Linked DNA regions of Astyanax mexicanus. The protein of the gene in region 1 interacts with the protein of each later gene in a pairwise test. Links are inferred from orthologs where the notes say so. Each region holds a gene or a part of one and is shown on either strand. Other genes may lie near its edges.

Region 1 (15,972 bases):
AAATAAACTGAGCTTTTAGGGTATATATATTTCCAGAATTCGAGCTTCTTCATGCTTTAACTCACTGTCTTTTTTGACGAAGCTCCTGGTCGATGTCCTGGAGGGACTTGCCTTTGGTCTCTGGCAGCAGGAAATAGATGAAAGCAACAGCTGCCACTGCAATCACTCCATAAATAAAGAAGGTTCCAGAAAGGCCAATCGCATCTGAGAACCAATTAGGTAGAAACAACAATGACAGCATACATTAATATAAATTTTACTGCTCCTCCATATATACTGCAACAAATACAAACAATGGCTTAAATCAGAATGTCCATACTTACCGATAACGCTGAGGAACGAGAAGGATACGATCAGGTTTGCCGCCCAGTTAAAAAAGTTTGTGAATGCAAAAGCTCTTCCCCTCAATTCAGCTGGGAATATCTCACTGAGGATCAGCCAGGTCACTGTAAATTAGACAGACGTTCATCAGATATAGCACAGTGAGAGCTAGCCAGACTAAAGTACAGCTTTCAAACATGGTGGAGGTAGTTTTATCTAAACTCAGTGAGAGCTAGCCAGACTAAAGTACAGCTTTCAAACATGGTGGAGGTAGCTTTTTCTACAACTCACAGTGAGAGCTAGCCAGACTAACAAGCATTGTAAAGGTAGTTTCATCTACAACTCCAACCAGTAGTGTTAGAAAGGGATAAGTTGGGGGTGTGATCATCATTCAACACCCAAACCCCAATGCTCTTTTTTGCTAAATGCAATCAAATCCTCACAGCAATGCTCCAAAAAATCTGGTAAATAATTGGATTAGAACCTGTTCAAACGTTTGTAGACACCTGCTCATCCAGTGTTTCTACTCAAATCAAAATAATTAAAAGAGTAACATGTTACTGCTCCAGCATCCACTTTCCTAGAAAGCAGGGCTGGACTGGTAATCTGGCGCACCGGGCAAATGCCCGGTGGGCCGACAGTCCTTAGGGGCCGATGCTGATTTTTTTCTTCTTTTTTTTCTAAGAGACCGGCCCACAAGTTAGAGGGGCGGCCCATTGGCTCATCTTCAATATAGACAGTGGACTAAACCAATCAGGATATAGGAAAAAAAAACGGCCACACCCTCTCTCTGCGTGGTTCAGCTCTGAGCACATTTTATTATGAAGTTGATAATGGTAAAACTATAGAGAATGTCCTGTTTGTAGCCTGATACAAATACATGTTATAGCTGTTTAAAGGAGGAAAAATTAGAATTAAACTGTTGTATCAGAGAATTAAAAAAAATACATATTAGAGATGATTTCAATAAAAAGGATAAAGAATCAATTGAACTACACAGAGCAGACAAAAATGGTGGAGTTCATAATAGACAATAAACTTCTTATATTTGATATGCTGATGATACATTATGCGTCTCTGTAACCCCACATACATAAATTACAAGTCGGTTGTGCTCCACTAATTATTAGGGGCCGGTCTAAACCAAAAATGCCAGGGCCGATGTTTTGTCCCAGTCCAGCCCTGGTAGAAAAGCTCTACAGCAGATGTTGGAACATTGCTTTAAAGATTTGCTTGCATTATTCGTTAATTATTGTAAAACTTAATGTTTATAGAAGGAGATTACCACTTACTTGGTCCAAAGCTCACAGAGAAGGCAGCAACAACTGACATCATGCAGATCAGAATAAGCCAGTTGTAGCTCCCCATAGCTGGAGGCATGTCTAAAAGTCCAGCATCAGTGGTGTGATTGCTAATCTTCATCAAATCCAGTTCCATGGGTTTTTTGTGGACTTGCATTGTGTTGTTGAAACAAGGCTCAGAGCTACAGTGTCTTGTAGCATCCAACAGCGAGTTCCTGCTCAAGAACCCGATAAGAATTAAACCCAAGGCCATTAATGAGCAACCGCCGATCAGCAGCGGCCTTCGTCCAGCCTTGTCTGCACAGAGCATTGCCACAAATGTTGCGACGACTTTGACGATTCCGAGGCCAAGCGAGGCCAAAATGGCTGAAGCGTTGTTTTTAAATCCCATGGACTGAAAGATGGTGGAAGCGTAAAACAGCACGTTTGGTTGACCCGTGAACTGCTGAAACAGCACGAGTCCGAGTCCAATTAGTGTCCTTGAGCGCAAGTTATCTTTACGCTGAAACAGATGAAAGATTGTAAACCGCTTGTGGTCCTTCAGAACCTGGTTTGAAGAAGGTTCTTCTTCTGGACAGTCACTCATGTTCTGACTGTCTGGTACAAGCTGGACTAGACCTTGGTTCTGCGATGGAAGAACCCAAACCGAAACCAGCTGAGCGAGGCACGGTGCCACGGCTAACCCGAACATGTACCTCCACCCTTCCAGAACACCAGCCAACACATAGTTGACTGCATAAGCCACCAGGATCCCAACGGTGACGCCAGCTTCGTACAGGGTGACCATCAGACCCCTGCGGTGCGACGGAACCATCTCAGACACGAAGATGCAGCAGGACATGGACGATATGCAAATTGCAAAGCCCACCGAGAGCCGACCCACGACCAGCATCAGGAAGGAGTTGCTGGAGCTGAGAATCAAGCTGCCACAGAGGAGCAAAAGGTTGCTGACCAAGATTGAGGTCCTTCTGCCGTGGCGGTCAATCAGCCAACCGCCAACCAGGGACGCAAAGACTGCGCCAATAAGGAGAGCGCTGACCACCGTCTCCTGCTGGACGCAGGTCAGGTGGAATTGGGCTTTGAGCTGCATCAGGGCTCCAGAGATGATCCCAAGCTCGTAGCCAAAGACCAGGCCCCCGAGTGTGGACACCGTAGTGGGAAGCACCACAATTGGGCAGCCTAGTAAAAGAGAGAAGGTTTTGGTTTTAGTACATTCTCTGAAGGTTACATTTGGAATTTTAAAAAAAATAACGCGGGCAAAGTAAAAGTGTTTTTTGTGCTTCTACTATTAGACTGTGTTCAGACTTGAATCAGATTTTTTGGAAATCTAGACTTGAAGGTCTGGACAACAAAAACACATTTGGAGAGGATTTAAATACGATTATAATATAAATAAAATATGATTTGTACACCATGACCTCATCATATACACAGTGATGGAAGTGTGGGAGTCCAAAAAGAGCACCAAAGTTTAGTTCCTGACGTCAACCTCCACACACCAGCAATGCACACAGATACAATTGTGATATCTGGACAGGCAAATCCGATCTGATCACTCACAAATAACAGTGTGGACATTAGAGGTGGGCGATAAGGGCATAAAACAATATATAATTTCATGGTATTTTCGCGATAACGATACTCTTAGTGATATGACAAAACATTAAATAAAAAAAAATATTTCAAGAATACACTACTGCAACAAAATAAAAATTAAATTCTATTATTGCATTATTGCAAATGTTATATTACAACATTTGGCACATCCCTAGTGGACATCCAGCCTAACAGATCTGATCTAAGAAACAAATCTCATTTAGCCGAATCTGAACACATACTAGGATAAAGACAAAAATAACAAGTAAAATTAATGATTAATATTGGTAAAAGTTGTTTGCATACAACTGTAAATAAGCGTGAACAAAATATTTTTGATATACGGATTTCTCTGTTCCATTGGAATAATACAATTTTACAGTAAAAACATATTTTGTGAAAACCCATTACATCTGACTCTTTTATATCAGACAAATATAAACTGAGTAAATATAAAAAGCACTTTTTAAATGATAATTTCATTTATTAAAGGAAAAAAACTATTCAAACCTGTGTGAAAAAGTGTTTGCCCCCTAAAACTAATAACTTAGTTTTGTCACCCTTGGCGGCAACAACTGCAGTTAAGTTTTACTCATGACTGGCTATGAGTCTTTCACGTCTCTGTGGAGGAATTCTGTTTCACTCTTCTCTACAGAATTGTTTTAATTCAGCCACATTGGAGGATGTTCCAGCATGATCATCCTGTTTAAGATCATATCACAGCATCTCAGACTTTGACCAGGCTGCTCCAAAACCTTCATTTATTTTTTTTAAAGCCATTCAGAGGTGAACTTGTTTGTGTGCTTTGGATCATTGTCCTGCTGCAGAACCCAAGTACATCTGAGCTTTAGGTCACAAACACATGGCCGCACATTTTCCTTCAGGATTGTCTGGTAAACAGCAGAATTCCTGCTTCCATCTATTGCAGCAAGTTGTCCAAACCCTGAAACAGCAAAGCAGCTCCAGACCATCACACTACCACCACCATGTTTTACATTCAGTATGATGTTCTTTTTCTGAAATTATGTGATAGTTTTACAACAGATGTAAAGAGACACACACCTTCCAAAAAGCTCCACTTTTGGCACATCAGTACAAAGAATATTTACCCAAAGTTCTGGGGATCATCAAGATGTTTGTTGGTAAATGTGTAAATTGTTTTTGGTCAGCAGTGTTTTTTGCCTTGAAATCCTCCTATAGAGACCATTTTTTAACGGTCTCTTTCTTATTATTGAATCATTAAAATTGACCTTAACTGAGGCATGTGAGAACTGCAGTTCTTTAAATGGTGTTCTGGGTTGTTTTGGGACCTCCTGGATGAGTTCATGATGCCCTTTTGGAATAATTGTGGTCGTTTGGTTTCTCTTGGGAAGGTTCACCAGTGTTTCATGTTTTCTCAATTAGTGAATATTAGCTCTCACTGTGGTTTGCTGGAGTCTCAAAGCTATAGAAATTACTTTGTAACCTGTTCCAGACTGATAGATGATCAATGACTTTGTTTTCTCATCTGTTTTTGAGTTTCTTCAGATTGGAGCATTATGTGTTGATTTTTGCGATCTTTTATCTGCTTCATGTCGTCAGACAGGTTCTATTCAAGTGATTTCCTGGTTCTACAGGTCTGGCAGTAATCAGGCCTGGTTGTGGTTAGTATTTAAATTAAACTCAGCTTTCCAAAAAGTGTGATTAATCACAGTTAATTTATGGGGGGGGGGGGGGGGGGGCAAACACTTTTTCACATAGGGCCAGACTGGTTTGGATTGATATTTTTCCTTAATAAATCATAATGTAAAAAGTGCTTTTTATATTTACTCAGGTTATATATGTCTGATATTAAAGTTAGTTTTATAATCTGTATATAAGTATGACAAAAATACAAAATAAAAAGAAATCTGTAAGGTAGCAAATACTTTTTCACGCCACTGTAGTTTGCCAGGTTAAGATATTATACCTTGCCAGACATGGTTTCTTCTTTTATTTGATCTTGTTTGGTTAGATTATGATTAGGTCAGCCTAAGGTACGTCTGGAGGTGTAGAAGAACAGCTAATTCAGATAACTGTTCATTCAGGTCAACATTTCTCAATGCAGTGTTTTTTATTAGCAGAGTTCCACTTATTTGGTTCAATGTCATGCTAATTTAGGTAATTTAAGTTACCCTTATGCAGACTTTTCAAAATCAATATACAGTTTCTCTGATTTTGTTTATGGGTATATGTTTGAGTAAAATGAACATTGTTGTTTTATTCTATAAATTCCAAATAAAAATATTGTCATTTAGAACATTTATTTGCAGGGAATGAAAATGGGCTGAAATAACAAAAAGATGCAGAGCTTTCAGACCTCAAATAATGCAAAGAAAACCAGTTCATATTCATTAAATTTTAGAAAAAGTTCAGAAATAAATATTTGGTGGAATAACCCTGTTATTTAATTAGAGTTTTCATGCATCTTGGCATGTTCTCCTCCATCAGTCTTACACTCTGCTTTTGGATAACTTTATGCCACTCCTGGTGCAAAAACAAGTTCAGTTCAGCTTGGTTTAATGGCTTGTGATTATCCATCTTCCTCTTGATTATATTCCAGATGTTTTCAATTGGGTAAAAACAAATAAACTCATACTTTTTAAGTGGTCTTTATTTTTTTCAGAGCTGTATATGAGGATAAAATGTCTCAGTAACTGTGATATAATATCTAAACGTTTGATACATCAGTATACACAATTTGCACAATCACACATAAAGAAGTGCCCATCTTACCCATTTTGCTGTCCTTTATGGAACTTCAGAGCTGCTTCATGGTCCAATAATGCACAATTTGTATGTTTTCTCCTCAGCTGAGCACCAGGTCTGGAAAATGAAGCACAGCTGTATCAGCAGATCCTCAGAATCCTTAGATGGTACATAAAAATGTGCGTTACTGCTGTGTTTAGAGTGTAAATGTGTTCCCCGCTCACCCCAAACCTCTCTGAAGCTCCTCTCCAGCCGCAGGATCCTTAGTGCAGCCCTGTGGGCATGGCAACCGACTCGTTGATGCCCGTCGATTGTGATAAGCCCCACTCGAGGTTGCCAGTCCATGGCCTAATCATCCATAAATAAACCTCCTCAGAAGACCTGCCCCTCCACTGCGGCTGCTGAGATTTACAAACTTTAAGCACTGAATTCATTTTAGTTGGTAATAATCTGATTTAAATTGAAGCATGCATCTGAACAGTGGCTAAATACCAAGCAATTGTGGTCAATCAATCTGGAACATGTTACAGAGTTTAAGGGCTGAGATGAGCTTTAAATCTGCATTTTGAACATTTTAATTAAATTGACCTGACTTTTTATAAACCTGAAATATTTCAAAGCATAATTCATAAATTTTAATTTTAAATGTTTTTCTGTGTTTTTAACTTGTAAGGTGGTGGAATTTTCTCCTAATATATGCTAAAACAATGAAAAACCATCATAAAAAAACAAGATTTAAAAATTCTGATCCATCAAATCTAACTGATGTTTTCACCTTTGACCTAAATTAATATTTCTATTTTAAATAATTGTTTTAATTAATGATTTTAATTCATGGATCTGAGTTTTTTTTATTCCTATTTTCGTAAATGTATTTATTCCACAGGTATTTTTTTTCCATAATTCAAGTTTAAGAAGTCTGTTGATAAGTAATTTATGTTTATCAATAGTCAGGTGAATTTAATTAAATTTTTTAAATTACAGATTTATCCATGGAATAGTCACAACATAAATTTAATTCAACATTTTTTGCCTTAGGTAATAATAGGTAAAAGACTGAACATTTCTATGAAACAATTACATTTCTTAAAATGTTGTAGGTAATTTTATTTCTGCACTGCATTTTATGACAATTCCTATCATTTTTACTATCTCAATATTTCAGTTAAGAAAACTTTTGCAATATCAGATTGCAGATCAGATTTTATTATTATTATCATGCAGTCCATATTCTGAAGACCTGGTCTGTCAGACTGAAATATTATTATATATCATTATTAAAACCTACCAAGCAATAAAAGCTCTCAGAACCATCCTTCTACCTGCTGTCTTACTCTATGTCTAGCAAGCTTCTGGTTAAATACAACCATGTTTCTAAATGACATGAGCCCAAAACAGCATTACAGGAGAAGAAATGTCTTTATAGCAGTGATTTACTAGTAGAATTAAATTTAAAGTGATCTATATAAACGTATCTAAAACTTTAACCTGACCTAGCTAACTTTAGGTAGGACAATACTGAGTGCTTCACGAAGCCCCTCTCCCCACCTAACTCTTTAAGCTACATTGTAATATAATAAAAAGTTATTTAAAAACTATTCATCTGTACTCTACTTAGCACATTACTTTATTACCTTGTTTTAAGACATCCCTCAATGTTCCTGAACCTTTTTCTCCACATTTAAAGTTTCCACAAACAAGCTCAGCTACGTGGCAGAAACTCCAAATACCGTTGTGTTTTTTTACGCACCCGTTCACTCACAAGCCACGCCCTCCTCTTAAGATTGTCTGCGAAGGATTGGACAATCTTATTTCTGGAGGGCGGGGCGTGTCAGAATACGGGTGGTTTAAAAACAACGTTGGCTCTTAAAAAAAAGCGAATAAACAAACAAATCAGCAAAATAATGAACAATATAATTAAAAAATAAATAAACAAGCAAGATTATTTATTTTTATTTAATTATAGTGAAATACGTTTTACATTTACCTGATTTATACAGTTAAATGTAATAAATCAGATTTATTTGTCTGTCTTTATACTATTACCTACTAAATATGGGAAATAATTCTGATAAGCTCTTAAATTAGTTTAATTCAGATTAACGTTACTGTTAAAAAGTATACAGAACATTTTTCGTAAATCGAGCATTTAGTTTAAAGAAGGTCTTTTATTTTGAACTCAAGCAGTTCACACGCTTATCTTGTACACACAAGCGAGCAGTTTATATTTAGTTTACTTTGGAGGAATGTTGGTACACAGTTGGTAGTCATTAAAATTAATTATTGGTTTCATTTCAAACGAAGTACTAGGCAAAACATAGAACCGTATATGTTACTTTTAACTAGTGTCATTTTAACGTCACTATTAGATAAAAGAAGCTTATTTTGACATTTTTTTCCCCATTGTGTGCTGTAATTTGTGTCAGTCCAATAAAAATGGAGCACCAAGGAAATACTTTATTAAACTAAGGAATTTGTTAACCTGGGGGAAAGATTTATTAAACTGAAAAAAGGATTTAAAAAAAAACTAACTAACTAAATAAATAAATAAATACATTTATTAAATTGAGAGAAAAAAGTTATTAAACTGGAAGAATTATTTATTAAATTAAAGGAAGGGTTTGTGTGTCTATTTATCTACCCTGGAATTTTTACGAGCTCGGTATATAATAAAGAAATTAAATTAGAATGTGAGATATTTCAGAGATTTTGTTAATCATTCAATCCCAAATATAGTACCAGGTTTGAACACAGTGTTTTTTAAATTGTAGATTAATAAATTCATCATTTAATAAAGTCACCAAACTACACATAAAAAACAAATGGAATTATTTCGTAAATAAAGATGTAAAACAAAAACAAATCAGAATATGTTTTTTTATTTTATTTCATCTTGGTATTTTCTCAGTCAGTTTTATGAGGTAGAGTCACCTGGAATCGCTTTCAGTTAACAGCTGTGCCTCATCAAGAGTTAATGACCTGTATTTCTTGTCCTCTTAATGTGTATGAGAGCAACAATTGTAAAGTTGTGAAGAGGTAGAGTTGGTATACAGTCCTACAGCCCTATCTGAGTAATGTTCTAATCCATATTATGACAAGAACTACTCAACTAAGTAAAGATTAAGATGACATTATTATATTACTGGCTCTCAGCAGGACGGACCCAGGAAAGGAATCAAAAGAGTTACCTCTGTTCTTCAGTATAAGTTAATAAGAGTTACCAGCCTCAGAAACCACAAGTTAACAGCACCCCAGATAAGAGACAATATATTATTTTGGTTTGTTTAACACTTTAAAGTTTACTACATGATTTTTTTACATAGTCTGGATGATGTCAGTATTCATTTACAATGTAGAACAATTATTAAATAAAACACAGAACGAGAAGCTGTGTCTAAAATTTTTACTTGTACATCCCACCGAAAGAAAGTCAAACACCGCTGTAGGACTTTTATTTTGAAACTAACAGGAGTTGGTTCTCGGATGGAGCAGAAGCATGGCGGGTATGGATGGTGGTAGTGGCGGCGCTGTCGCTCCGCCGAGTTTACCCGGAGCTCAGCTGCTGAAACAGGGCGCGGAGGCCCGGGTTTACCGCGGCCGGTTCTTGGGGAAGTCCACCATCGTTAAGGAGCGGTTTCCGAAGCGGTACCGACACCCGGTCCTGGATGAGAAGCTGACAAAGCGCAGAACCGCACAGGAGGTCCGGTCCATACTGCGCTGCAGGAAAGCGGGTCAGTACCCAACACTACTCACTCACTCACTGACTCACCTCACTCATTCACTGTGTCACTTATTTACTGACCCACTAGAAATATCTACTCAAAAAATACAATCCGTTGGTGGCAGTCTTATCGATCTCAGATATTATTTTGTGGAGTTTTTTAACACAAAAAATGAATGGGATTTCCTGTAGACAAAATTTGACGATTTTTAAAAAATCCACAGTAGGTGCCACAGGTCCGAAACTCCATTAGGCTAAATGGTCCTCCCTCTAGTGTTTTTTTTTTAATATTAAGTAACGGCGACTCCACCCCCTTCAGATTCCTTAATTACCTGGGTGCAGTGTGGTCCTCCGACAGCCCAGGTGGCAGCAGTGGTTGCCACTTCTGTGATCTTGGTACTAACTTTTTCCAAAATTGATATTAGAGTGCCCCCAAAATCACCAAAGCATAATTTGACCCTAAATAGCATGTTTTCACCAAGTGTCTCGGAACGGCCGAAAGTTGGTACATGCCCGCCTTTTATCATGAAAGTGTGTTGGATAGCGAAAGTTTTTTTTTTTTTTTTTTTTTTTTTTTTTTCTCTTCTCTTCGTTCTCAACCATAGGTCTGACTGGCACCAAACTTGTTCCGGTGGGTTGCCTCACTGAGCCGCACCAAATGATCGAACGGTTTTGTGTTTAACCCTTCGCTCTCTGAGAAAAATACACTTAACTGTATCTGCTTAGGTGATGGTTTTTCATCCAAAATTTTTATTTTAGTTGGTGCAACTCGCTGTCCTGAAAGCATTGGTACAAGTTTCTTGGAGATTGGATTTACAGTTCGGCAAAAACCAGCAAAATGACACTTCGGTATCCGACACCTTGGCCCTAAACAACACTTTGGGACCCAAAGTGTCATCGAAGTCCCAGAGTGTTATCAGAAAGCACCAATGAGTTTTAAGTACTGTTTAAAGTGGCACAACAAACGATCAATAATAATTTATTTATTTATTTTAAACAGTTTAAAAGTGCAATATTAAACATAAAAAAACAAAAGAAATGTTAGAAATACTGTTTATAGTGGCATTTAAAAACACACCATAATTGTTTTATTATTATTATTATTATATTTAAAAAGAAATTAGAATCAATTTTAAACCAAATTGAATGGAAACACTGGGCAATTTGCAAAAGTTACAAGTAAAACTTGGCAGAGGGGCCCACCTCAGACTCTGTCGTTTCAATTTGTTCGTCTTTGCTTGAAAATGAAAGTTGCTGGGGAGTTATGGACAGGGGTAACAGCCTCCATTTTGTAGTGTTCGTTTGAGAATTAAAGTTGCTGGGTGGCTCGGTTGGGAGTAGTGGACAGGGGTAACAGCCTCCATGTTTTCGTCCTCACTTGACAAGGAAAGTGGCCGGGGGGTTACGGGGGAGGCGTAGGCAAGGCTAGCCTGGATCGCCGAAGTCCCTGGTGTCTGGAGAAGCTGCGTCTCGTCTTCATGTAATACTGGATCCTGTCTCGCCACTTCGTCACCCTAAAAAACACAATCAAGCAAACAAATAAACCAACCAAATTAGAGCATTAAATAACCTCAATAAATTACTGTTCCTGTAAAACAGAACTGTGAAAATAATGACTTACAACATGGCACTGTGGGGCCTTGAATGAGTCTGAGGAGGACTCGTCAAACAGGCACCTCTTGGCCTTTGGGAAGGACGATTCAGAATCAAAACAGGATAGTTAAATATGAACTTTGATATCACCTTTGAAGGTGTGGTTATCTCCAATCAAACCCATCACACCCTTCACCATACTTCCTCATAAACAATCAGAACACTAAATATGTACTTACATGATGAACAAGGGAGGTCCGGATGTTATGGAAGGTGTAACGCCTTTCGAAGCCCACTCAAGACCACTGCTGACCTGTAAATTAACAACAAAAAAAAATAATTTTGCTAATAACCAATGAACAACCTGTTGACCCCTGATCATCATAACCACACTCACTTCAATGATCATGTTTTCCCCGTCGACTTTGGCGTCCAGCACTTCTTGAACGAACTTATTCTGAGGTACGCCACGCCGGTGATCTGAAATGCAGATGAAATAACCCGCCAACCTGACCAATCTGACCTTTCATTCCTGAGATATGATTGGTGAAATCTGGCCCCATAGAAATGAATTGGAATCCCAAACAGTCAGATGAGGTCATGCGCCCCCTATCTATCCCTGCAATACCCAACGCTTTCCGACTAACATTTCTACTATCCTAACGCTTTCTGACAAACACTTCTACTATCCTGACGCTTTCCGACTAAAACTTCTACTATCCTGACGCTTTCCGACTAAAACTTCTACTATCCTGACGCTTTCGGACAAGCACTTCTACTATCCTGACGCTTTCTGACAAACACTTCTACTATCCTGACGCTTTCCGACTAAAACTTCTACTATCCTGACGCTTTCGGACAAGCACTTCTACTATCCTGACACTTTCCGACTAACACTTCTACTATCCTGACGCTTTCTGACTATTAACTCTGCTATACATTTGAACTGGAACAGTTAGTGTCCATAGGCTGGGTATGTCAGCTAGGATTTGGGTATTCCAGCCTATGTTAAATTGGCCATTTTCGTGATATAAGCACTAACCCACTCACTTAGTGACCTACTCTCTCTCTGACCCACTCAGTCAGTCACTAACCCACCCACCCACCTACTCACTCACTCAGTCACTGACTCAGAATAAGCTTTTTTTTTAATAACAAGATTATTTATTAACACATACCATATATAAGGAATGATAATGCATGCACAACAAATCACACGTACATTTTTTAGGCCATTTACTCCCCTTTTCATATAAAATATATAGGCAGCCTTGAGTGTAGTACAGTACCACTTAAAAGTTTGGACACTTTTCTCAATGTTTTTTTTTTATTATTACTTTTTAAAATGTTTTTTTTTCTACATTGTAGATTAATGTTAAAGACATGAAAACAATTAAGTGACAGATGTGGAATTGCGTAGTAAACAAATAAAAAAAGTGTTTGTCCTTTAAAGTCCCCTTACCTAACTGAGACGGTGATTTGGGATTAACTGGAGGCTTTCCTTTTTGTAACCACACTCATGTGGATATCTGAGTATACTCCACCTTCACACATTTATGCTACACACTACATACATTGTGCATTGTACTCAAATACTAGTGAATAATAGTAATTAGTACACAATTGGTGTGCACCCTGGGGCAGCGTCCAGAAACCCCAAAAGTTTTTCTAATGATCCTCCTTTTTTCTGATTGGTAAATGTTTCATAAAAATGTCTTTTTTTTCTGCAGTGAGCTGGAGTTTAAACATTGGCTGGGCAGATTCGATTCAGAATTGATGTTCGATTCGTGCAGAGCTTTTTAACTGTACCGCGAAGCTTACCTACTGTCGCACGGAGCTCAAACTGTCCTGCGGAGCTTTTTAACAGTTAAAGAGCGCCGCAGGGGAGTTAAAGAGTTCTGCGGTACAGTTAAAAAGTGCCGCGCAACAGTAGCTTCACCCCAAAAAAAAGATTTTTTGAAAATGAGAATCGATTTTGAATCAGTCAGTGTTAGAAACAATATTGTGATTGGCTCAGTTCATCAGTAGTCTGCATAATAAAAAAGATCAGTTGTCCCATTGTCCTTGGTCTTGACTTGGGTTTAGTGCTCTTGCCTATGACACTACTATATAGTGTAAATAAAGAACAAAACAAGTGTTCACAAATGATTCAATATTATTTTTTTTTCTGTGTTTCTCTGTCTGCAGGTATCAGTGCTCCAGTGGTATATTTCGTTGACTACACCACTAACTGCATCTTCCTGGAGGAAATCACAGACTCCATCACCATCAGGGAGCACATCACCTCCACTCAAGCATCTGGACGAAGCACAGAGACGCTGTACGGCCTGGCCGACCGCATCGGACAGATCCTGGCCAAGATGCACGATGAGGACGTCGTCCACGGAGACCTCACCACCTCCAACATGCTGCTGGTGGGTGAAGAAGACGGAAAACCAGGCAAACTGGTTCTAATAGACTTTGGCTTGAGCTACATCTCTGCCCTGCCTGAGGATAAAGGGGTGGACATGTACGTCCTGGAGAAGGCGTTCCTCAGCACCCACCCAAACACCGAGGCTCTGTTCCAGAGACTTCTGAAGAGCTACATCGCTGCATCCAAAAAAGCTCCAGCTGTCATTAAAAAACTGGACGAAGTCAGACTGAGAGGACGAAAGAGGTCTATGGTTGGATAAGTTGGAAAAGTCTGTAATACCCCATCTTAATTTGAATTTTCATGGAAGATGATACCATACTTGGGCTGCACAATATCGATGAAAAATCAATATAAAATATAAAACCAAATATTTTATTTTTCTGCAATATATATATTGTGAAATTTGAAATAACTGGAATTGTCAGTGATCCAACATACTGTACAGTTATTATTGGAGTGAAAAAAATTATATTGAGCATGTAATCTGCCTTTGGTAGATTTTTTTTTTGTCATAAAATGTAAATATTGGTAACGATTTACAATAAGCTTCACAATTAACAGTTCTAATAAATAATTACTAAATTGTCATTCTTTAGAATTTTACTATTAAAAGTGAAATAAAATAGTCGTAACTAAATAATTAACTATGCATTATTTGTGACAATAATTAGTTAAAACATTCTGTGGTAACATACTGTTAATAAATATACCCTTATTGTTGCCAAAGTGAAAAATAAATAAAAACTCACTTATCCTATAATGTAAATATTGCACGTGTGCAGAACTCACTAACAAAGCTGAAATCACATTGTGCAGCCGTACACCACACCACATCTTGTACTGGTTTCTACTTCCATACCAATGTGCCTCTCTGGTTATTACTGATATCACAATAAAGTTGCTTTAAGTTGTAAATAAAAGTTTTTTTTAAACAAAAGTTTGATTCTGTGTGTGGTCTTCCAAACAGTGCATGTAAAACAATCTAACTCAAGTAAAAGAGCAGAAACTACTACAATACTGAGTACTGTATCACAATGTAAATAAAAATAAAAAAGCATAATCTGTACTAGAGTGACAATTTGACTACTGTAACGCAATCTAACTTAATTAAAAGGACAGAAACTGTACTATAGTGAAAGTATGATTACTGTATTACAATCTAACTCAACTAAAAAGAACAGAAACTACTACAGTAAAAATATGACTTCTGTTACAATCTATTTCAACTAAAAGAGCAAAAACTGTACTACAGTGGAAATGAGTACTATAGCACAATCTAACTCAGGGGTGTCCAATCTACGGCCCGTGGGCCATTTGCGGCCTGTTTCCTTTTTTTAGTAATAGGATGAAAGTTGGCCCGCTGTTAAGCAGGTTTTTATAATGAGATTCAAAGTTTGAACGCTAGGTGTCAGAAACGAGCCAAAGAGTCTAAAAGCGGCGAGAGTGCGCAGTTCGAGCGCAGGAAAACCGGCCAAAGAGTTTAAAAGCGGGGAGAGTGCACAGCTCTAGCGCAGAAAAATGGGCCAAAGAGTCTAAAAGCGGAGAGAGTGCGCATTTCTAGCGCAAAAAGCGGCCAAAGATTCTAAAAGCAGAGAGGGTGCGCATTTCTAGTGCAAAAAAACGGGCAAAGATTCTAAAAGCGGCGAGAGTGCGCGTTTCTAGCGCAGAAAAATGGGCCAAAGAGTCTAAAAGCGGAGAGAGTGCGCATTTCTAGCGCAGAAAAACGGGGCAAAAGAGTCTAAAAGCGGAGAGGGTGCGCATTTCTAGCGTAGAAAAACAGGCCAAAGAGTCTAAAAGCTGAGAGAGTGTGTATTTCTAGCGCAGAAAAACGGGGCAAAGATTCTAAAAGCGGAGAGAGTGCACATTTCTAGCGCAGAAAAACAGAGTCTAAAGGTTGCTGTAATTAAGAAGTTTAATATTAAGAGACATCATGAAATTAAACATCAATTTGAAAAATCTTAGTTTACACAACACTACAACACAACAAAGATAGTCAAGTAAAATGGTGTGTAAATGAAATAATCAGGAAAATTCATTATCATTATTTAAAGTGGTATATTTCATTATTTGTTTTATTACAGAGTCTTTGGCCTGTGAATTCAAATATATTTCTCCTTTTGGCCCCCAACAAAAAAAGTTTGGACACCCCTGATCTAACTCAATTAGAGGAGCAGAAACTGTACTATACTAAAAAAATATGCGTACTGTATCTATCTTAATAAAAAGAGCAGAATGTGAATTATAGTGAAAGTATGAGTACTGTATCACAGTCTAGCTCAACTGGAAGAGCAGAAACTGTA
Region 2 (16,411 bases), on another chromosome or scaffold:
ATCAGAACTTTCAGCACACAATAATAAAGCATCTTCGTAGGCTGTATACAGAATAGTTGATGTGTTAAGTTAGATTAAGGCATGTCTTAGAACTTGTTTACACCTGGTCACTATGTGTGACTAGAACCTGGATCCACCAACCAGAAATATCCAGTCAACAGCATCCTATTAGCAACGACCTGTGGGCAGCGTCCTGTGACTACTGATGAAGGACTAACCAACACAAACTTTTCAGTAACAGATTCAGAGCTTCTGTCTTAGACTTAACTTTATCTACAAGGTGGATAAAGGAATATAATAATAAAGTATGCAGAGAAACAGATACAGGACTACAGTCTGTAACTATAGTACAACTACAACGTGTCCTATATGCTTAGTGGAACCAAAACACTATGACTGGGAGATCGCTGGTTCAAATCCTGCTCATGCAGCTTGCCATTTAGCTGTCAGAGCCCTGAGAAAGCACAATTGGCCTTGCTCTCTCTGGATGCTCTTTCCCCTCATAACTCCAAGGGTGATGTCGATCAGCACATGGCTGACACTCCTTGTGTTGTAACATCACTAGTGATGTGGGATGTACAGCTGAGTAGCAGCTGAATAGGTGAGACAATTGGTCTAGCTAAATTGGGAGAAAAATGGGAGAAATTTAAAAAGAAAATCTAGAAGAAAAAAATAATTGTAGAAAGGTGGTTCTCTGGTTTAAAAAACACATGATGAATTTTGGATATGATTGTTTTATCAAGAGCAAACTATTATTAAAAAGATATCAGTTCCAATGAGTCCCAGTGTTCTTTGAGGAACTGAAGGTGGTTCATCTATGGCTTTGTCTGGCCTTTCTCTTTATACCATTTAACAAAGTCATCATCGAGAAATGTTCCATCAAAATAGGAACAGTGTGTAAATAATGAGCCGGATGTTTGAAAAGTGTCTGTGAACATGTGTGCAAATAAGTGCTTCTGTTTCTCTGCTTTAACACTTAAATACTGAATATATTCAGAAGCATGTACCTCATTACAGCCCTCATCATAATTACCTACCCAGCTCTGAATCTTCCTGCTGCAGATGCTATTTTTTTTTTTTACATCAATTATAAAAACTCTCAGGTCAGATTTGACAGCTTAAGGAGGAATCATTGGATGTACATGGATTGAAAGAGTAATTAGCTGTAGACTGCATGTATGCATCTTGGCTGAGTTAACTAAGAGTGGGAGAAGCATAAGAACAGCATCCAACGCATATTAACAACCTCAGCTTAGAAACCAGTTAAAAAACCAGTTAGAAAAAGTTACCAGCGCTCATAATTGGTTGGAGATTTCTCAGCCAATAGTTGCCAATTATATGATAACTGTGTGAAACAAACATTCTCAAGTCTAATTAAAACTGTCAGGCAGAACAAGAAGTAATGGATGGTACTGATTTCCTGTGTTAACCACTCCAGTACTCCAATATGAGGCGTGGGAAATATAGAACCAACTGACAGTTTACACTATTCAGTTTCACACTGCCACCTAGTGGAAGGACGCTGTTATTCATGGGTATACTCCTTGCTTTACTGTACATTCCATAGAATCCAGTGCTCCCAACGTTTGGATTAAACACCACTGGAATGAACCTTACTTTTGGGAGTTACATAACATTCTATAAACACATGTAAAACAATCCATTTATGCAAAATCAAGTTTATGTATGCATTTGATCCACATACACTATATGGGCAAAAGTACTGGAACAGCAATTGTTTCTTCTGTAATCAGGGGTTTTAAAAAGTAGTTTATTATTTTGCAGTTAAGGGTTTCTATTACATTTTAGAGCTTAGCTCTAAGGATTTTTAAACTCAATGACAAAAGTGATAGACCTCATCATCATCAGAGACTATACAAGCTGTGTGTGTGCATGAATTGCTCATCTGTTTCAGCAATGGGTGCTATTTGCTTGTTGTAACTCTTCTAAATTAAACCTTCTTTTAATCATTTTTCAACTCTGAAACTCAGGCAGCTTTACTTACATTTTAAGCCAAACATGATTACTAAACCCATGTTACATTTAAAAAGAATGTTTTAAAGCAAGTGCACTAATTCCTTCTCTCAAGAAAGTCTTTTGTTTAAAGAAATGGTTGACTGCATGTTCAAATCATTGATATGTATGACTGTTAATGGCACTCATTCTGTTACTGGAACTCACTCTTGTTACTTTTTATGTTTTGAGTAACATAAATGAAAGTAACAGGAATGAGTTTTTAGCATAGAATTAGCAAAAACATTTAAAATAGCTAAATGGCGGCTATGCTAATAGCATGAGGACACTAAGTACATTCTAGTGATTTTTTCCAAAATTGGAAAATAATAAATTTGGGTAACAGGACAGAGTGTTGAGATTGACTTCCTTAGTCATAATTAAAATAAGATCAAATATACAGAAAAACAAATGAGGGAACTTAATTTCCCGTGGTCTTAATTCAACAGATCTTAATTCAATAATTCTTTAAACAAAATTAGGCAGGTGCATAAATTTGTGCACCCTTGTCATTTTATTGATTTGAACACCTTTAATACTAATTATTGGAACACAAAATTAGTTTGGTAAGTTTTTTGACCCTTGACATCCCGTTTTTTTATATATATAAATATATATATTTAAATATATTAGGCTTAGCAGTTATGGTTGTTCCAGCACACTGGAGAAGGGATAAAATACTGAGTTGATGGTACCACTCAGAAATGCTTCTGCTTTCAATTTAGAAACAAAATAATACGGACTGTCATTTTAATTTAATTACAAAACAACAGACAGAAGAATTTTTTGAAAGGAAAAAAAAAAAGCAGCACTGCCTAAATTTAAAATTCTTTCTTTATTGCATCAGAACAGTGGGTTTGCAAATGAACACTGACAATGGAGAACAAGGACCTTCACAAATACAAAGAGAATTCATATGAGTGAAAGGAAAAACATTCAGGTAAAGAAATTAAGACTAAACTGACTGACGTGTTTTATCTGTATCTAACAGGGTTTAAAGTTTAAAAGAACTGGCATCAGTATTTATGGCGATTCATCTTAAGGGTAAACAAGGCAGAACCAGTATAACTTGAAGAAAAAACAAACAACTTGTCGAATCACATTAAAAAGATGATGCTTGTGCTTGGTCCACGACAGGCGACTCAAATGGCAGTGAATAAAGACGAGGACACTTAAGGAATCATTTGAAAAAGACAACACAATTCAACTGTGTAGAACATTTAATATTAAAGACAAAAAAATCCATCCACCCCTTTTCTTATCTGCTTCTTAAAACATTAAGAGAACTAGAAGAAGCTCAGTATTCCCTGTCCTCATCAAACACCTAGTTATCAATTAAACAGTCCTTACTTTAAGTAAATCAAATGAGCTGCTGGTGGAAATTAATATAGGGCTGGTTTTCTGTGATTAACCTAGTCCTGGACTATACAGCACTTTGAATCTGTTTAGGAAACCAGCCCATAGTGATTAGCTGGATCAAGGCAGCCAACAATTCAATAGCCAACCAGTGCAGATGTATACTGCTATACAGTATTTTTAGAGGTGTAAACAAATTTATTGCTGAGATCAGCATTTTAACACAAACAGAACAATTTTAACTGCAACAGCTGTTTTCTGAACAGTACTGTAGTTAAGTAAGTGCCAAAAAAACCTTGTGTTTTCAAACATAGATATTAATGAACACATTATCCCATAATCCAGTGGTTCTCGGTTCTAGTTCTGGAGGGTTCTCTAGTCCTGATCTAACAGGCCCATTCACTTCTGGAAGGGTGACCTAATTAGTTCATTAGCTGCATCAGGTGACTTAGTAGAAAGAGAAATGTTGGCTTTGTTCAGACTGCTGGCACAAATCTGAGTTTTGGCATAACTAGACTGTATTTATATTGATTGTGATAGTCAGAAAAGCCAGAAACTGCATTTTTGCTACATTTGGAAGTAATTTGAAACTGATTTGTAAGTTTTGAAAGATTTGTCTTAGTCTGGATGCCTTTGTGTTCCTCACTACATGAGAAATAATCTTATTAAATACAATTACGTATTTTTCTATCATGGACAAGTTTTTTTTGGACCCTGCAGTCATGATCTATAGCCACGTTCAGCCAAATTATTAAGAACACCACAAGGCTGAGACATGAGTCTAATTCTAGTATTACTGATTATTTTCTCGTTTACTCACAGCCATTTTCCACTATACTTGTAGCCTATTTTTATGCCTTCAAAGTCGGATATGCACCGGATTTTAGTACCAAGCCACCCAAACGAAATACCTGTGTCACATTTGGCATAAAAGATCATATTTGGGCTGCATTTACCTTGTGTGTGACCATTGCCTTACTGATGTCAAACTCGTACAGATACACTTGTGATGTTCAGACAGGCAAATCTGATCTGAACAACTGCAATTAACATGTGGACAATCAATGGGGGTAGTAAATACTGAGTACTGAGTAGCAATATCAATACAAACTCTGATTAAATTACTTCAGAGTTTTTTTTTTTAGCATTATATTTTACAGTCCATAGTTTTATTTTGGGTACATGTAGTATTTTATATCTCAAAAAAGATATACAATTTTGAAAGAACAGCATTTAATGGTTGAGTAACTGCAAATTCGAAAACTTTCGGAGTTATAAAAAAATGTGTGTCAGTAACGGCTTCATAGTATCAGTGCTCTTTACTGATGAGAATGATATGGTGTGTGCAGTGCCAGTAACTGTACCAATACAAGTAGAGCATCAGTCAAATCGGAGCAACACTAATCTCAACTTATTTTTATCTGATTTAAGAAATAAAATCAAGTAAAGTACATTTGCCTGCAGTTTGAACACAGTTTAATATATGTGGTACTTCAGGACAAAGACTGAGAACAAAAGAAAACTGCTGTAATACATATTCAATGTCTCTTTTGGTTTTCGAATGTTCTTCTGCTGACATGATTCTGCAGTAGGAAGGTACCTGGTACCTGGTGAGAGCCGTGGGGAAAAAGGAAAAAAAAGGGAGTCATTTCTTTTTTTTCTTTTCCTGATCTTCAGTACCAAAAAAAAAAGAAAAAAGAAGTGAACTGATTACAGTGTTCAAATTTCACCACATGAATCTCTGCACTGCAGAGCTATCAGGCCAGTGAAATGTCTTGTAGATGAATATGTAGAGCGTGGCTGCGTTGACTGCTGTGTAGAGAGCAAATTCGAGCAGCAGTCTAGGAAGAGATGGAAGAGGGATGTGTACTCTGTAGAGGAGATACGGCAGGATGAAATAGCGGAATTCCAGCAGTTTCTGAGGAACTGTAGCTGCCAGTAAACATACAGAAAGTGCTAAGAGCCAAAACAGCGACTTGAACTTTAGAGTGTCGTAAAAGTTCCAGGCTGCAAACAAATAGCCAGGAACAAGGAGGAACCGGATCAAATGGTGCTTCTGGAAGATCCGCTTCCAGACATAGAAAGGAAAATGCCTGTTATCCGCCAGCAAGTACTTGTGGACGTAAGTGAACTTCCAGATCAGCAGCAAGAACAGAGCTGCCATCAGCAGAAACAAGAAGGGGTGCTTTCTCAGAGACTGTACGAACCTGACCAGCCTGTGGTAGCAAAGTGAGGCGGGAAGCGAGAAGACCAGCGTGAAGGAGAAGAAATAAAAAAGCTGAGGGAAGTTCAGACAAGCCTCGTGACTAGTCCTGTCCCCAACCACAATTCCATTATTCAGCACCACAAACGTAACGAAACCAGCACCGACTAAGCCATACGGCCATGCCACCAAGATCACCGTCTTCACATTGGCCGGTGTCGTAAAATAATACAACAAAAAATTCACTACCCTCCTCACGCCACTGACAGACAGTGGGACCTGAGAGGGGGTCTTCTCATCCCTCTTCTTTGACTGCTCCACCCGCCACGCCTCGTCCATCTTCTGAGCCACCACCGTGCTGGCGCAGAACGCAACCCAGATGACGTTGGTCTGTCGGAAAAGGATGGCGCAGATTCCCAGCAGGGCCGAGGCTTTGTGACACCCGTAGAGACACATGAGGTAGGCGAAGAGGGTGAAGAAGGTGGAGCCGGCGTCGGTGTAGTAGAGGAAGGTGAAGAAGTAGAGCACAGGGAAGGTGGACAGGGTCAGGGCTGAGAGAACTCTCCGAGCAGCCAAGCGGGACTAGAGAAGAAAGAGAAGATAAGCGACACTGTGGTGAGAACCTGAGAAGGCAGTGTAGGTAAATATACAGCTCTACAAAAAAAAATAAGAGACCACTTCAGTTTTGAATCAGTTTCTCTGATTTAGCTATTTACAGGTATATGTTTGAGTAAAATTAACATCGTTGTTTTATTCTATAAACTACACACAACATTTCTCCCAAATTCCAAATAAAAATATTGTCATGTAGAGCATTTATTTGCAGAAAATGAGAAATGGCTGAAATAACAAAAAATATCTTTCAGACCACAAATAATTGCAAAGAACCTTTAAGTTTAAACTCATAAATTTAAATGGTCCTTTATTTTTTTTTCTACCACAGGCTGGCCATGTTCTCTGGAATGATGGAGCTCCATCCAATACTCTTGGACTAAGTTTGTGATGTGAGGATGATGAGGTGGGGTGGAGTGGAGAGGAGATCATCCATCACCCTTACTCTACTAATTCTCTTGTTTGCTAATTGCAAACAAATCCTCACAGTAGTCACCCAAATCTAGTAAAGTCTTCCCTGAACAGAAGAGACAATTACTCCAGCAAAAGAAGGAAACTCCTCTGTTTTTTTTATATTATAAAGAAAAAAATCATCCCAATACTTTTGTCAAATGTAGTGTAGATTAATGATAAGTTAATATTATATATATTAAAACAGGTTAAATGGTTTGCACTGATAAAAGGGTCCTACACATAATGGAATATTAGTTCAAATATCAGCCATATCCAGACATATCTAAAAATACACAATAGCTAATATTATTGAGATAATTCAGGAAAATACGACAAAAATTAACACTTAATTATCACCTTGTCCTTAAAGTGTAGCCTGCAGATGATGAGATAGAGGATGTAGAGGTTCCCACAGTTAAACAGCAGGTTGATAAAGCGCAGCATGGCAGTGGAGCACACCACCGCCCCAGAGAAGTCTGCCAGCCATACCACTGGTTTAATCACTCCCACAGACAGCAGATACAGGCCAGGCAGTGTAGTGATCATGGGATCCCACTAACAAAATGAAAAGAAAATATACATTATATATTTACATTTATTTAAAATGCATTTATTACTTTATTACAGAATTAGAACAAAATGCAAATCATCGAAACTGAACCAAAGCTCGTCCTTAAATACTGTCTACACCCAAGTGATGCTCTGTATATACCTCCAAGCACAGATGCAGATTTCTGTTTTTCAGCAGAACATGGCAAACTGCCCACACTACCAAAAGTATCAATTGGTCTTATAAAATATTGAAATTTTCTGAGACACTGATACTTGCGTTTTCATTGTCTGTAAGCTAAAATCATCAACAATAAAATAAATTAACGCATAAATAGATCACTCTGTGTTATACATTCATTTCTCGTTTTGAACTGAATTACTGAAATAAAGTAACTTTTTAATGATATTCAATTTTTTTGTGATCAATTATTTATTTATTTTCATTGTTATCCACATTACCAGCAACAAGATATTCATTTTTTTTTAGATGCACTAGTATATGTACACCCATGTGATATCCTCTATACATCCATGTGATACCAAGAATTATGCTCTAAACAGAACTATGTGAAACCCCATGTACAATTGTTATGCTATGCACATGTGATGCCCTGGTATACACACAATTCTCAATATATGATGCTCTGTACACACTCGAGTGATGCTCTGTATATATGAAGTCCTGTAAACAACCAGGCGAAGCCCTGTGCATATAAAGCCACAGTGCATATACCATGTATACATGCATGCGATGATCCCTATATACAATGTGATGTCCTATATACATCCGTGATGCCCTGTATATGTGATATTCTGCATACACTCAACCAATGTCCTGTGTACTTCCACATAATGTCCTGTATACAGTACCAGTTAAAAGTTTGGACAGGCCTCATTCAATGTGTTCACTTCCTTTTTATTAATTTTTACATTGTAAATGTAATTTTGAAGACTATATTAAGGCTCTACAGGAACTGTGTGGAATTATTTTTGTAAATAAGAAATATGTTATGATATGTTTTACATTTAGCTTTGAGGACATATCTGCACACTCTTGGTATTTTAATCTCAGTGTCTTCATGAGGTTCATGAGTTTTCTTAGCATTGTGAATTAGTTCCTGGAGGTGCTGAACATTCATGTCTTTAATTTACACTTTACATTTGTACTCTGTGTATACACCCATATAAGATCAATACCTAGCTACACACCTATGTAGCTCTATGTAGTTATGAGTCTCTGTAAACACCCATATAAGACCAATATCTAGCTACACATCTATGTAGATAGCTGTAAGGCTCTCAACACACCCATATGATGCCTTTATATGTGGTTATATGTCAGATTAGATGCTCCAGCCTATGTGTGAGTCTGTCCTCACCTGGTTGAACTTGCCCTGGCAGTATTTCTGAGCCTGTGGGATGTGGAAGATCTCGTCCATATAAGGCTCTCTCTGCTCTCGGCTCACAGAGGAGAAGATTAAACACGATATGAAGAAGTTGACGCTGCACAGCGCCGTGAAGGCGTAGCACTCCGCCCGCTCTAACATCGCTTTTCTCTCTATTAACCGTCCTACAGCCTAATGTAAATTGCAGATTCGTTCCCCGGGGTTGTCTACCAATAATCCCGTTTAGTCATAACCCAATGAACTCTCCAGTTTTAGCGGGAAATATGTTTTTACCCGCCTGCATACTGCAGCGAGCCAGCGGAGAGCGGAGCGACGGTTACAACCTGACAGACGGAAACCTGAGCACGGGAGCAGACGTTCCGTATGGTTTACAGTTTATCTTTTACAACACAATTAAAAATTGTGATGTATGAGAATATAATATTTATGTATATAAATGATTTAATACCGATTACATCGCGTTTAAACGTATTAGACATAGCCAGCTAGCTACTTTGATACTCGGAACGTTAGTTATCAAGCTAGCGTAGCACAGTGCTGAGGGTGTTACAATATTATTGTCCTGGTCTCGTGCACTCGTGTAGTAAGCTAGGGTTAGCTAGCTGTAGTTTGGTTAGTTTAGTAAACCAGGAGTGTTTTTATTTTATTTAAGGCTGGAGATGCAGTTAACTCAGGATTTAGAGCTCTTCCCCGATCAGTCAGTCACTCAGCTGCTGTTCAGAGATGTGAAAAACTGCGCAGAGCTGAGAAAGATGGCAATGGAGGGACAGATACCCGGAGCTCTGATTAACCCCAGCATGGTAACGTTAAAGACAGTATAAAGACTATAATCACAGACTGTAATCCTGTATCTGTTTCTCTGTATAGACCACCACAGTATAATTTGGGTGGTGGTGTGTTAGTAGAGTGTGTTGTGCTGGTATGAGTGAGTGAATCAGATACAGCAGTGCTGCTGGAGTTTTTAAACACTGTGTAGGCTTATTAGACACCTACACGACAGTTGTGCTTAAAAGTGTTGTGAACCCTTATACAGTTTCTACATTTCTGCATAAGTATGACCAAAAACATCAGTCCTAAAAGTAGATGAAAAGAAAAATATATATTATACATATGAATTTGTTTATTTAGGGAAAATGATCAACTATTATATACAGCTCTGGAAAAAATTAAAGAGACAGTTCCTCTGATGATGCTGTTTATAGGTATATGTTTAAGTAAAATGAACATTGTTGTTTTATTTTCTTAATTACGAACAGCATTTCTCCCAAATTCCAAATTAAGAAAATGAGAAATGGCTGAAATGACAAAAAAGACAAATTAACTGCTCGCTTCAGTTTCTTTCACAACATTTCTTTTGGATTAAGATCAGGACTTTGAATTGGCTATTCCAAAAGATTAACTTTATTCCTCTCGAAATATTCTTTAATAAAACAACTTGTGTGCTTAGGATTCAGTTCATGGACAGAAGTCCTGAAATTTTCCTTTAGAATTATTCGATATAATTTAGAATTCATTGTTCCATCAATGATGTAGCAAAACAGGCCCAAACCATGATGCTACCACTACCACGTTTCACAGATTGGATAAGGTTCTTATGCTGGAATGCAGTGTTTTCCTTTCTTTAACCATTTAACCTTGCATTTAAACTTACAAACATCAATATTAGCCAATGTGAGAGAGGCCTTCAGTTGCTTAGAAGTTACCCTGGGGTCCTTTGTGGGGTCCATTACATGCTTTGCTCTTGGAGTGATCTTTGTTGGTGGACCAGTGTTGGGAAGGGTAAGAATGGTCTTGAATTTCCTCCGTTTGTACACAGTCCAAACTCTTTAGAGATCCCTGCCTGATGAGAAATCTCCTTTTTTGGGCCATGATGCACTTTCACAAACATGTGTTGTGATGTGCAGACTTAGATAGAGCCCTGTTCTTTAAACAAAAGAGTGCCCACTTACACCTGATTGTCATTGCATTGATTAAAAACACCTGACTCTTAATTTTACCTTCGAAATAACTGCTAACCCTAGAGGTTCACAAACATTTGCCACTGACAAATATGTAATATTGTACGGTGGCCGAGAAAGCCCAACGCAGTGCAAATTGAAAAGCGCTGCAAAAGCACAAAACACATCCATCAAAATTACAACACAGGCGCAGCAAATAGATAAACGCGCTGCAAATACAAACACAACGGAAGTGAGTCACAACACAACGGAATTTTCCTGGGGGACCTTAAAAGATGCTGTACCAGCTAAGCTGCGTCTTCAGTAACGTCTCGGACTTCACTATGTGTACAAAGGACAATAAGTGGCAAACAAGGCGTTTTGTGAAGCAGAACTTTTAATAATATGCACACAACCGTGGTAATCACAGGTAATAAACAAACTTACTTTTCAGAAGCTTGTTTGCCACTTATTGTCCTTTGTATACAGCTGGTACAGCATCTTTTAAGGTCCCCCGGGAAAATTCTGTTGTGTTGTGACTCACTTCCGTTGTGTTGTGGTTGTATTTGCAGCGCGTTTTTCTTTTTGCAGCGCGTTTTTCTATTTGCTGCGCCTGTGTTGTAATTTTGATGGATGTGTTTTGTGCTTTTGCAGCGCTTTTCAATTTGCACTGCGCTGGGCTTTCTCGGCCACCGTAAATATTGGATCATTTTGCTCAATAAATAAATGACAAAGTACGATACAGTGGACAATGAGCGTAAAAACAAGGCGGAGTAATAATATTAAAATTCTGACTAGACTGTAGTTGAAAGTGTATCTCTCTCTGTTTCCTCTACTTCCAAAGGTTGTGGACCTGTTCCAGACTCTGGTAGCAGCAAATAAGGCAGTTCATTTACAGAAGGTTGGGAAAATGAAGACGAGGAGTTTGTACTCTGAGATCATCTTTAGTCTCTCACCCACCAACAACGTGAGTTTTTCCGTTAACATAAATCATAAAGCACTGTGATTACTATGATTATTAATGTGATTATTAATATTTTTTACAGATCTCTGAGGCATTTAGGAGGTTTGGAGTCTCAGACAGTGACAGCGCCGTCCTTGTTGTCCTCGTTCATAATAAAGAGGACATTTTCAATAAGGATGATGTCACGTCTAAGGTGGATGGCCAGCAGATTCCAGCTGATCAGATTTCCACTCTCAGTGATATGGCCAAGATTAAAAAGGTTTGTCTTTGTGTGATTCCAGTGTTCATATATAGGGTGAGTAGTGTAACAGATATGGTGGCATCAAAATGTTTTGACACTAAATATGTTTGACATATTTTGTTTTTCAGTTAGATTGAAACTGAATGCTATTAGACATAGACAAATAGTTTTAACTGTTTCATTAAAAACAGTTAAATTGATGACTATATGTAATCCCAAGTCAATTTAATTCCAAGTCATTCTGGAGCATTTCTATTGATCCAACAGTCTTGAAATTTTGAAACAATGTAAAGAACAACTACCAGATGTACACTCTTTCCAAACATAAATGTCAGTCAAATGTAGAATTAAATATATTTTGCAGGACAACGTCAATGTAGTTCCCTTTTAAAAATTATTAATAGGTTTTTTAAAGTTTTTTTCCACCATTAGAGTAGTTCCCTGCAGGACTTTAACTAGTCACATACAATAATATAAATGTGGTCATATCACCATTCTACCATTACATAAATCTGTTTCTGTTCTCTGACTGAGATATTAAAGTGTATGCTTTTGTTTTTGTCCTTTCAGCTTTACAAAGTCACCCCGCAGGAGGAGAAGTGTGGAACTGTTCTGGATGCTGTTGTTCTCAGAATGGCCGCTAAGGAAGTTGTATAGCTTAGGGGACACTAACAGGACACACACTCTTTAAAAAGGGAGAGAAAGGTCTTCTGGAGGGATACCACAGATTAATTATTTTGGGTTTCTTAAAAAATATATATATATTCAGAAAGATTCTCTAAAAAAGCAAAAGTGGTTCTTCTGTCATCACCTGGATAAACTTTTTGCCTTCTTAGTTTTTAATTTATTTGTTTGTGTTTAAATATCTACAGTACCTTTTAAAAATAAATCTGATTATAAGCAGTTGGCTTGTTTTTTTCTGTACCATTCTTTACCAGTTTCTTGATTCAACTATATGGATGTGCATGTCTTTATAAATATAGTTCGATTTTAAACTGCCTGCAATTATATTACAGCAAGTAAAAACATATATTTTTGGCCAATTTCAGATGTGTTTTATGAATAAATTTTACATCGTTCCTTTTTTGTATGGGTACCCACTGTAGCACAAACAACTTTCTACTGCAAAGAGGTTCTAAATACAACTCAGTCTACATCAAATTTCCGAGTATTAATACAGTAGCTACAACTTGTAGCTTTTATATGTATCTCTGGTTAAACAGCCCTCATCTTTCTGCTCCATTCATTTTTAATGAGAGGAGAAGTAGATCTCCTGCTGAGTGGCGGCTACATCTGTCGCTCATCACAGCAGCTCTCACACAAAGGTCAGATAATTTATGCTACATCTTTATTTTCTATAGCAGCATTTTCACAGGAGTGACTTGAATTACGAGCATACTGTATTTCTGCCTTAAAGGTCTCATATTTTTCATTCATTTTAAAATGTCTAGTTGAGGTCTCTAGTATGAATGAATGCCCTGGGACCTGTTTTTTATGAAAAAAAAAATGATGCTTTGGTGATCCGGTATAACGCTGCTTTAGTCCAGTGGAGGAGTGGGTTAGAAGAAACGATAGAATTTAGGCTTTTGCTCATGAATATTTATACCTATACTATAATTAATATCATATAAATCACATTTTAGGATGATGCATTAATGCATGTTTTAAACTCCTATCTCAGTCAGGGAAATTGGTGAGCTCATCTTTCCCAATGTTTCCTCCACTCAGAATGACCACCACAGTTTTGCCGGTGATGTTGGGTATTCTGCCGTTAATGACAGCAGCAAAAGCAGCAGAACCTGATGGTTCTACTACCAGACCAGCTCTGTAGAGTGTGGACACAGCAGACTTGATTTCCTCATCTGTTACCAGCACTATCTCCTCCACGTACTTCTGACACAGTGCAAACGGTAGAGCACCTGAAACATAAAACACACAACCCACACACCTTGTAAGTGAAGGTTTAATGACCTCATAAACATAAATTTGTTTCACATAAATTAAAGTGATGGTTCAGCTCAAAAATCTATTTTACACATCCCTCCCCATTACCACAAACACATTGAACTGAACCTTAAAAACATAAGTGAATTAGCTGAAATTGATTAATTATGGTATATATATATATATATATATAATGCTTAATTTGTTATAGTTCATATAACATGGAATCGAAAAGGCCTTCCTATTCTCAGACACCTGACTAAGGAGAGATTTGGTAATGATACAGTTAGACAGTCACTCCACCCCAGCTTTAGAGATATGGAGGCACGTACACTTCTGAACCCATAAAAGAACAGATTTTCTCAAAACAGTGTTTTTGTATGCCACTCCAGGGTGCCACAACTGCACAAATATTTCACAATATGGAAAAAATAAAAGAATTAAGGCTTGATCCAACAATGTTTTACCTGCAAAGGGAGGTGCAAGACCAGAAGCGATGCTTTTGCTGTCCATGCCGACAGGTTTGTTCTCAATGAAGCTTTTGTACATTGTGCATGCTGTTAAAAGTAAAAGGTTAAACAATGAACTAAAACAATAATACACTAATATAAACACAAATGTCTTCAATAAGTAGGAACATAAAACAGCTATCCATGATTTTTTTCATATTTATTTTAGTAATGCAATTATTTTAGCTATTTGATTAGCATTATATTGCTTAATTTGCAAACGTGACTTTCAGTGCTACATGATGATTCATTTTGCTACACTTTTGAATATATAATGTAATTATAATGTATTTTAATACAATATATGTATACCAACCAATAAGCACAACTGCATTAAATTCAGCAAAACTGTATTAAAATCTGTACCTACTACATATATCATTGCTGTCATGCAAAAACGTTGTATCTCCATCATTTCTTAATGAATTAAGTTTTCATGATGAATGGACCAATAGAAATGCTTCAAAATCAATTTTAATAAAAGTTTATACTGATTGCAATAGAAAGTTACAATGTTTTTTTTGTTTCCATTTTTAAAAAATATGAGATTTTTGGACAGGAAATAATTAAATTCTTTACCTCCTTCTGGCTCCACTCCATAGATTTTTGTTTCATCACATCCTGACAATTTAATGGCAGCGGCCACTCCAGCCAGTAACCCCCCTCCACCACAGCACACCACCACTATATCAGGATTAGGAACCACCTCCAGAACCTCAAAGCCTAGACTGCAGTAAATTGTTAAATACCAGAAAAGACTGTAACAATAAATAGTATTTTAACGTTTAGTAGAAAAGTCTAACATCAATGTTTATATTAACATTTATCAATAATGGTGATGGTGATAATATGTGGTTACTATGGTGTTGCTAAGTGGTTGCTGAGGGGTTGCTCTGGTATATAGTGCATAAAGTATATGCTTGTCATAACTATTATAATATAACTTAAGTGTTCATAAATGAAAGATTGAGATATTCATAATTTTAGATATTAGATGTGTAAATACAGATGAGAAAATACTGCTAATACAATAGAAACGTATGATTATGATCAAGAAAATAATGAGTAGGGTAATAATGAGTATTTGTGTACCTGGCGTGTCCTGTTATGAGATCTGGATCATTGAAAGAATGCATGAAGGTCATGTTTTCCTCTTGAACACAGTGATTGACTACATCCAAGAGACGTGGCGTCGGCACTCGCTCAACTTCTATACCAAAACTCTGTAGGTTCAGAGTTAGCTCTAATTAGTTGTATGAATATTAAATTCCAAACTACGGTTGGGCGGTATTCGCTTTTTCATACTGTGTCAAAACATTACCACTGTATAGGGTATTACTGAGGGCAGGGAAGCCTTGTGTTTACTTGATATGAAATTAAGTTTAAAAGAAGATAAGATTAATATAACAGAAAAACAGTTAAAATTAAGGTGGTTAGATATTAAACTTTTAAAATGATTTAGTGACATTAGTAAGCTGAGTTTTAGAGTGTCCTGTAAACTTACACAGTTAGATGAAAATGATAGAGAGACTGGATAGACAGAATACAGAAAATAAGGGTTTTGTAGCTTGTTGAGGTCTGTAGCTCACTTGCTAAGCTAGCTAGCCTTTGATTTGAACAGAGCACATTGTGTTTTTTCCCCGTTTTTTTGTTAAGAGAACAATGTCAAATGTGTCCACCTGTGGCCATATTAAATACACTTGAATGAATGAGCTGTTATGGCCTGTATTAGTGAGACACAGAGACGGTTTTCTGGCACGTCAGGCAGGTTATATTTGTGAAATAAATGTATCTTATTAAAATGTTTTAATACCGTGCTGAAGGTTTTTGCCGATGTGGCACCCAACCGGACATTCCGGACATTATTCTGTAATCAGACTGTGTTCTTACCTGTATTAGCAGGGATCTGGAGATGGGGGCGGTTTCAGGCATCACCACTTTGCCTTTGGTTCCGTAGTGTTTAGAGGCAAAGGCAAATGATTTTCCATAGTTCCCTGCTGACATTGTGACAAAATGACCTCCTTTGGCTTTTCGAGCAAACTGATTTGCTACACCTCTGATTTTAAATGAACCTGTTGGTGAAATAAAGGAAAAATATAGTGAAAAATAAACGTATAATATTATATATTTTAATGCAATATGATTTACCATCCTCGTTCATCAGGCAGGATCAAACAAGGGCCACACTACACTGAAACTGTGATATGCTGCTAAATACCCT

The links.
Region 2: the proteins of tp53rk (region 1) and tprkb interact in binary tests that used the Homo sapiens proteins (3 or more experiments, as listed by UniProt). The link is inferred for Astyanax mexicanus from reciprocal best matches to the Homo sapiens genes TP53RK and TPRKB.

The regions. Positions count from the first base shown.
Region 1 is NC_064431.1:14,939,214-14,955,185, reverse strand, and holds tp53rk (EKC/KEOPS complex subunit TP53RK), read left to right. Parts: upstream 1-9,354; 5' UTR 9,355-9,441; coding exon 9,442-9,676; intron 9,677-13,446; coding exon 13,447-13,931; 3' UTR 13,932-14,609; downstream 14,610-15,972. Other genes in the region: slc2a10 (solute carrier family 2, facilitated glucose transporter member 10), read right to left, coding at 66-204, 324-446, 1,614-2,801, 5,973-5,976.
Region 2 is NC_064409.1:18,910,977-18,927,387, reverse strand, and holds tprkb (EKC/KEOPS complex subunit TPRKB), read left to right. Parts: upstream 1-9,797; 5' UTR 9,798-10,197; coding exon 10,198-10,374; intron 10,375-11,376; coding exon 11,377-11,499; intron 11,500-11,578; coding exon 11,579-11,755; intron 11,756-12,307; coding exon 12,308-12,394; 3' UTR 12,395-12,640; downstream 12,641-16,411. Other genes in the region: alg10 (dol-P-Glc:Glc(2)Man(9)GlcNAc(2)-PP-Dol alpha-1,2-glucosyltransferase), read right to left, coding at 5,096-6,154, 6,995-7,192, 8,569-8,736; srr (L-threonine ammonia-lyase), read right to left, coding at 13,415-13,656, 14,149-14,238, 14,770-14,918, 15,283-15,413, 16,081-16,262. UniProt on the Homo sapiens protein: Component of the EKC/KEOPS complex that is required for the formation of a threonylcarbamoyl group on adenosine at position 37 (t(6)A37) in tRNAs that read codons beginning with adenine.